2 linked regions of the Ovis aries genome follow. The protein of the gene in region 2 purifies or fractionates together with the protein of the main gene of each other region. This does not show direct contact. Links are inferred from orthologs where the notes say so. Each region holds a gene or a part of one and is shown on either strand. Other genes may lie near its edges.

Evidence for each region.
Region 1: the proteins of MAGOHB (region 2) and PYM1 purify together in Homo sapiens (co-immunoprecipitation; 3 studies listed by BioGRID and IntAct, with this or other methods). This does not show direct contact. The link is inferred for Ovis aries from reciprocal best matches to the Homo sapiens genes MAGOHB and PYM1.

What each region holds. Positions count from the first base shown.
Region 1 is NC_056056.1:163,592,712-163,596,626, reverse strand, and holds the start of PYM1 (partner of Y14 and mago), read right to left. Parts: upstream 2,688-3,915; 5' UTR 2,685-2,687; coding exon of another isoform or gene 2,651-2,684; 5' UTR 1,603-2,650; coding exon 1,491-1,602; intron 1-1,490. UniProt on the Homo sapiens protein: Key regulator of the exon junction complex (EJC), a multiprotein complex that associates immediately upstream of the exon-exon junction on mRNAs and serves as a positional landmark for the intron exon structure of genes and directs post-transcriptional processes in the cytoplasm such as mRNA export, nonsense-mediated mRNA decay (NMD) or translation.
Region 2 is NC_056056.1:204,663,690-204,667,604, reverse strand, and holds the start of MAGOHB (protein mago nashi homolog 2), read right to left. Parts: upstream 2,993-3,915; 5' UTR 2,934-2,992; coding exon 2,840-2,933; exon of another isoform or gene 2,755-2,839; intron 1-2,754. UniProt on the Homo sapiens protein: Required for pre-mRNA splicing as component of the spliceosome. Plays a redundant role with MAGOH in the exon junction complex and in the nonsense-mediated decay (NMD) pathway.

The sequences.
Region 1 (3,915 bases), about 41 Mb from region 2:
TGCTGCAACTAAAGATTCTGCATGCCACAACTAGAGACTCAGAGCAGCCAAATAAATTAAAAAAAAATTTTTTTAATAGAAGAATTGGAGAAAATCCATGACCTTGACAGAAGTTAACATTGTTATATTATACCAAATGTTCTGCAGTCCATGCCTTTTCTCTAGCCATGCGCTATGGCCTAGAAGCAGAAGCCAAGAAAAAAGTTGGTGGGTGTGATTCAAGAGAACAGAAGTGCTTGCTTAGTACAGAAGATCAAAATGAATGAAGAAAGCAATGAGGATAGTGACTGGTCACAGAGGTCCAGCAGGCCAGCATCAAAAGTAGTCATAACGGGGATTTCCCTGGTGGCGCAGTGGATAAAAATCCATCTGCCAATTCGAGGGACACCAGTTGGATCCCTGGTCCAGGAAAATTCCACATGATGCCCAACAACGAAGTGCATGTGCCACAACTACAGAGCCCGAGTGCTGCCAAACGCTGAAGCCTGTGCAATAGAGCCTGTGTTCTACCACAAAGAGAAGCCAAGCACCACAAGAGTAGCCCCTGCTCCCCACAACTAGAGAAAGCCCATGTGCAGCAACAAAGACCCAGCTCAATCAAAAATTAATTTTTTAAAAACTAAAAAAAAAGAAATAGTAGTCATAAAGGTGCTGGTAGACTCAATGAAATGAAATGGAAAACAGGTCAAGGACCAGAGAAACTAAAGAGGGCAAAAAGCTGATTCTATGGGTGTGTGGAAGTAAAAAAGATGACTAAGGAAGTTAAAATAAGTGATGGGGAGCCCTGTCACTGGTGGTGTTCTGTGTAGTAGGATATGTAGTAGGTCCAGATTGCAGTGGTTCTGATGTGTAGCTGGCTTGAAAATTCAAAGGAAAATCAACAATCTCACATTGAGGAATTATAAAAGTATTGCAGGGACTTCCCTGTTGGTCTAGGGGTTAAAAGTCCACCTTGCAATGCAGAGGACACAGGTTCAATCCCTGGTAGGGGAACTAAGACCACACATGCCCTAGGGCAACTAAGTCTGCATGACCCAACAGAAGATTCCACGTGACACAACAAAAATCCCCTGTGTGGATGCAGCCAAATAAATAATAAATATGTATCTATAAGTATTCCATAGATGCTGAGTGGAGACACTGAGAAACAGAATGAAATGATATGATACATCTTGTCCGTGGATGTTGGACCTTAAGTTTTAGAGAAAATGCTACAATTGCATGGCAACATCTTCCAGGAGAATTACAGTGACAGTGGTAGATCGATGATCTGGAAGCAGCAAGGGAAAGCAAAAGAGCAGTGTGATTCCTTCTCTTCTACACGGTCACATGAGAACAGAAGATACCTCTTGGGAGGGTAAGGTGAGATGTCATATCTGAATTTTCATTAAATCAGTTTAAAGAAAACAGTTAATAAGTAGAGATGTACTGGACAATGAGTAATATTTTCAAAAACCACATCAAGAGAGGCAAATTGAAGAAGTACCTACTATGTAGAGAGCAAGAGAAGTTGTAGCACTTTGAAAGGTGATGTTGCAGAGAAGTAGCAGAGACTTGGGTTGTCATTAGATACCATATGAGAGGTGGGTTGAGAAGTAACATGGAAAACAAGAAAAGCAAGAGGCATAAAAGGTATATTTTAAAACGGACTGCATGGACCAAAGTACACACACACACACACACACTTCTATAGAATACAAATACACAATAAGGACTACAAAAAACAGTAACGCCTTGCCTTGCACAGCATTTTATAAATCGCTTTCACATACAGTATCTTATTCGACTGTCACTGAATAGATATGCACATTTTTCCTAAAGATGAGAAAATTAGGATGGGGCATAGCCAAAACGAAAATCTTGATTCCCAGTTTTCAACATATCAGCCTCACATACACAGCAGACACTTCAGCAGCTTGGAAAATCTTCTCTGACTAGAAGAAATAGTGGGTTCTATAAACTTGTCAGAGGACTTGAGAGGCCATCAGACACCTTCTCGTTTACCTTCTACCACCTCAGATCCCTCAACTCTTATCACCATCACCAGAGAAGGTACCGAAGGGTGACAGGTGGTGTTATCAAGGAGAGAACTCCAGCTGAAAGTTCTATTAGGTTCCTCTTCTCCTCACACCTCTGGACCTCAATGAACCAACAATTAAGATGAGTTAGAGTGGAAAAAGAACTATGTAGCAATGAGGAGGTCTCCAACAGATACAGCTTTGATAAATAGTATTTAAATGGGGCTCCGGTAGGGTAGAAAGCAGGTACACTGAGAGATGGGGGAGGGGAAAAGGGGGGGGATCAAGAATTGGAGGGAATTGAGAGTGGAGGCGCCCCCAAGGCTGAAGAACCCCAAAGAGATATGGGATTTCCAAGCGCTGGAGAAAAGCTAAGGGTTCGTGAGGGTCCTGGATCAAGGACCAGCATTGAAGGACCCCAGGGCTTGGGTGACCGGAAGCGGAGACCCCCCAAACAAGAGACCAGAAGGGGGCGCAGGTGACACCCCGTAGGAGAGAATGAATGGGGAAGGCGGTCCGGAGGGCGGGGCAAAGGAGGGGCCCCGGGATGGGCGGGGCACAGACCCCTTTCTAAGTCCGAACCCCTGCCCCGAGAGCCATGGGAGAAGCGGCTCCGCGACTCCCGCACTCACCGCCGGTCTCGTCAGTTACATAGGGAGTCGCCATCTTGAAAACGCAAACCACTTCCGGCGTGAGCGGGCTGGGGTCCCGCCCCCCTCCCCACCGGAAGTGGAGTCCAGATCGTAACAAGCCACCATTTTAGTCTTAAAGGGAGAGTACACCATTTGGTGGACAGACGTGAAGGAGGCGTAAAGAAGCTGAAGACTAAAATAAAATAAGAGCCATAGCCTCTTTTACTGCCATTGATACCAGTATTGAGCGCCTGCTGCGTGTATAGCAGTTCTCTAGGCGCCGAGAGAAGTTCCGAGGCATAGCCCCTATCCTCACCGGCACTCTTCGTCTGTCTAGGACCTGCGGGAGAAAAGGGGGCAAGGCCCACCTGCATCCAGAAGGCGGGGGAGAGGGAAGGCTAGTAAATGAGGAAAAGAAGGTTATTCATGTCCTGGCCTGCGCCCAGGTTCCAGAGCCGCTTGGGGATACGGGGCGGGGCAGGCAAACTCCGGGAACGCACTGGGGCGCACCAGTGTTGGGGGCGAACGCAAGACCCCAACTGACCCTCTCTTAGAAGGTGGGGAGGTAGAAATCGCGCGCCGATTGCCCTTGGCCGCTCAGCTCAACCCTCCCGAGAGAGACGCGCGAGAGAGACGTGCAAGGCCGAAGGCGCTGCCTGTCGGTCATTTATCCCCGCAGCTACAGGGTTGCCGGCGACTTCTACGGCTGAGAAGGCGCGGTGGGCGGGCGGGGCGGATAGCCCCGGCCTGGCCCTGCCCCTGGGGCGGCCCCAGGGACTCGGGCGGTGAAGTGACGACGGCCCAAGTTTGCTCTGGCCTTCGACCCGGGAGCCTCCTCGGGCTCGCCCCAGGGTCAGAGGGTGAGATGAAGGCTGCTGGGCGGACCCAATTAGTATTCTAATTAAGCTCGGCCAAGTCTCAGCGCTCTGGGGATCCAAATCCGGGCAAAACGCCAATAACCTGAGCCGCACGGTCACTCCCTTTGCAGCCCTGCTCTGCCCCGTGTCTCCCTTTTTAGAGGAACCCAAATGTTCTCCCTCCCCCGCTTTTTTCGGCAGCTCTTGTTCCTTCAGGGCCAAGTCCTGCTAAACTCGTTTCCCCCGCAGCTTGGGAGGGGCCGGCTACAGGTTCCTCTCCTCTCCTCAGGTGTCTGCCCTGCCTTCCCCCATCCCCCCGCCCCGTGTTGTTTTTTCCTCATCAACAGTTTTATCTTCTTCCAAATCCCCACTTTGGTCTAGGTTAATGTCCTACAGAAAAAGTGACCA
Region 2 (3,915 bases):
AAATGGTATGGACCTAACAGAAGCAGAAGATATTAAGAAGAGGTGGCAAGAATACACAGAACTATATAAAAAAGTTCTTCATGACCCAGATAACCACAATGGTGTGATTACTCACCTAGAGCCAGATATCCTGGAGTGCAAAGTCAAGTGGGCCTTAGGAAGCATCACTATGAACAAAGCTAGTGGAGGTGATGGAATTCCGGCTGAGCTACTTCAAATTCTAAAAGATGATGCTGTGAAAGTGCTGCACTCAATATGCCAGCAAATTGGGAAAACTCAGCAGTGGCCACAGGACTGGAAAAGGTCAGCTTTCATTCCAATCCCAAGGAAAGGCAATGCCAAAAAATGTTCAAACTACTGCACAATTGCAATCATCTCACATGTTAGCAAAGTAATGCTCAAAATTCTCTAAGCCAGGCTTCAACAGTACATAAACATATACTTCAGTTTTATTGACTACACCAAAGCCTTTGATGGTGTGGATCACAATAAACTGTAGAAAATTCCTCAAAAGATGGGAATACCAGACCACCTTACCTGCCTTCTGAGAAATCTGTATGCAGGTCAAGAAGCAATAGTTAAAACCAGACATGGAACAACAGACTGGTTCCAAGTTGGGAAAGGAGTATGTCAAGGCTGTATATCATCACCCTGCTTATTTAACTTCTATGTAAAGTACATCATGCGAAATGCCAGGCTGGATAAAGCACAAACTGGAATCAAGATTGCCGAAGAAATATCAATAACCTTAGATATTCAGATGACGGCACCCTTAGGGCAGAAAAGCAAAGAACTAAAGAGCCTTTTGATGAAAGAGGAGTGAAAAAGTTGGCTTAAAATTCAACATTCAAAAACTAAGATCATGGCACCTGGTCCCATCACTTCATGGCAAATAGATGGGGAAACAGCGGAAACAGTGGCTGACTTATTTTTCTGGGCTCCAAAATCACTGCAGATGGTGATTGCAGCCATGAAATTAAAAGACGCTTACTCCTTGGAAGAAAAGTCCTGACCAACCTAGAGAGCACATTAAAAAGCAGAGACATTACTTTGCTGACAAAGATTCCTCTAGTCAAAGCTATCGTTTTTCCAGTAGTCAGGTATGGATGTGAGAGTTGCACTATAAAGTAAGTTGAGTGTGGAAGAATTTATGCTTTTGAATTATGGTGTTGGGAGAAGACTCTTGAGAGTCCCTTGGACTGCAAGGAGATTCAACCAGTCCATCCTTAAGGAAATCAGTCCTGAATATTCATTGGAAGAGACTGATGCTGGGAAAGACTGAAGGCAGGAGAAGGGAGCAACAGAGGATGAGATGGTTGGATGGCATCACTGTCTCGATGGACATGAGTTTGAACTTAGCTTCCAGGAGTTGGTGATGGACAGGGAAGCCTGATCTGCTGCATTCCATGGGGTCGCCAAGAGTTGGAGTGACTGAACTGAACTGAAGATTAAGAAAAGACTGTTTCATCCATGTGACTGGCTAAAATTGACCAGCTAAAAGCTGGTCACATGCCAAGACCCTGAAGACAGTATAAACCCAGGGATTGAACCCAGGTCTCCCACATTGTAGGCAGATGCTTTACCATCTGAGCCACCAGGGAAGTCCAAAGAAAGAAAAGATAAAGAGAATTCAAGTAAATTTGGCTCCTGAGCTAAATTTAGAAACAACCTGAGGGGAACCAGGAAGATTAGGGATTAAGGTTCCTAAATAATTGCAGAATGTAGTTACCCTGACTTCTACCTGATGTATCTGATATTCTTCCCTTTTGCTAGTATGTGAACCTCCCCTAATTTTTCTTTCATGCCCTCCCAGAACTTTGTCCAAAGCATGAACACAGCGCCTAATATGCATACCGCTTTACACTTAGTTTTATGTTTATGTCATCCACCAAAATATAACTCCTTGAAGGGAATGAAAATGTCTTATGCACTGCTGTACCCTCAATTTTTGTTTTTACGTGTTGCCCAGCACATAATATGCATTCAAAAAAACAGTCTATGCAGTTGGACTACTGTTGTTACAATAACAGTTCAATATACAGTACAACTATCTAAAGAGAATTAGTTGTCAAAATATAGAATTTGCTGCATATTTCTTGGGCAACTGGCAGTTTCACCTCACCCCGGGCCCCCTTCCCCGCTCTTAGAGCGCTCAGGAGTCTGACGCCTTTTCTCCCAGAGACCAAGAAAATACGTCTTCTCATTCCAATACTCATCTCAATGGTCGCCTTCTCAAAAAAGATTTCCGACTCTTTCATGAAGAACTAACCGCGCCCCCTTTTAATAGTCTTAATGCATCCAATAGCGAACAACTGTATTTAAGCACCCGAAAGACATCATTACACTCGTTTTTCTACACGTTGGGCTTCCCACCTCCAGAGCATTTTGCTTTTCTGCCTTCCATACAGTGCCTGAACGAGTAAATTAATTCAGGATGAATGGGCCGTCTGAAATTTACTATTTAAAGGAAGATTTTAAGTGTCCATGGATCCACCGCTTGGTGGGGATGTCAAAAAATGTCCAAGTATTAGGTTAATTAACTAGAAGGCCGTTAAGGTCCCTTCCGGTGAACTGATTCTAGAATTCTGATTACTATAGCTTGAACTTTAGGATCAAAGGTAGCATAGGCTTTTCTGAAATAATTGACACCGACTAATTCTCTTTTATTCCCTCAAACCAATGTAAGCTTCCTACATTTTTAAGCTCCTGGACCCAACTGTACACTCGCGAGCCCGAGCAAGCTCACCCACCCACCCTGCCTCCTTCGCGGCCTCTCCGCCTCGCTTCTCCCCTGCTCATCATCACTCCCAGGTGCGGCAGTCGCCTCTCTTCCGCTCACCGTCCGGCCGAAACTCAAACTCCAGAAACTCGTGTCCAAATTTGCCCTTGTGCCCTACGTAGTAGCGCAGGTAGAAATCGCTGGCCATAGCCATCTTTGTCCCCGAAAAGCCCGCCGAAGGACCGGCCGACGTGACTCCCGGCGCCTGGCAGTGACGTCAGTCGCCCAAGGATTACACGTCACAGCGGGCGCGCCCCTTCAGCCTCCCTCGGCCCGAGAGAAAAGCGGGTGGGAGATAGGGTGCGGTGGGGCAGGGTTGCAAAGGCATGAACTCTGCTTTACTAAGGTCATATTATTTTCAAAATTAGTTAGATCATATTATATTGGGAAAGCACAAGTGATAAAATATGAAAGCATTTGTTATGACCTCCGAATTAGTTCGGAGTTGCTCTAAGTTCTAAATTAAAAGTCGCTCTGACTTTTGGGGTCTCACGGCATCCCGTGAGGTGGGTGTGGCCTTATCCCCCAGGTTAGTGGCATGAGTCAAGGTAAAAGCCCAGAATCAGAATGCAGACCTGCAGTACAGCCATTTCTCTTGCTAGACTTCTAACACAGGCCTCTCCCCTTTGGACAATGATGGCTCGCTTTCTGGCATCTAGAAGCCAGACGAGACAAAGTAGAAAGAATCCATCACGACAGGCTGTCTGAAAATTTGAAGAGCACATTGAAGCAAAATCTCTTGACAGTCATGATACGAAAAAAATTTCTATCAATAATAAAACATCCAGTTACTGGAGTTTCGGCAATTTGATCACAGGTCAAGTGGTTTAGCGCCCATTTCTTACGCTCTAGAGTTATACTGGGGAAATATAGCTCTCATCTGGAGTGGGTTTTGAAGGATGAGGAAAGGCAAGCTGAGCTTTACACAAAGCCTGTTTGTTTGTTTGTTTGTTTTTTCCTCTTCGGTTATATTGATTACCTTTCTTTTATCGACACACAGAATAATCCTGCTTGTTGGATACCCTTTAACCTTCAGTGGGATTTGATAAAGAGAGTGGCAGTCAGAAGACAGGGATTTATGCCCATTACTTATCTCTACCTAACTTCCTTTAAGACCCTATCTTTAAGCCGTTTTA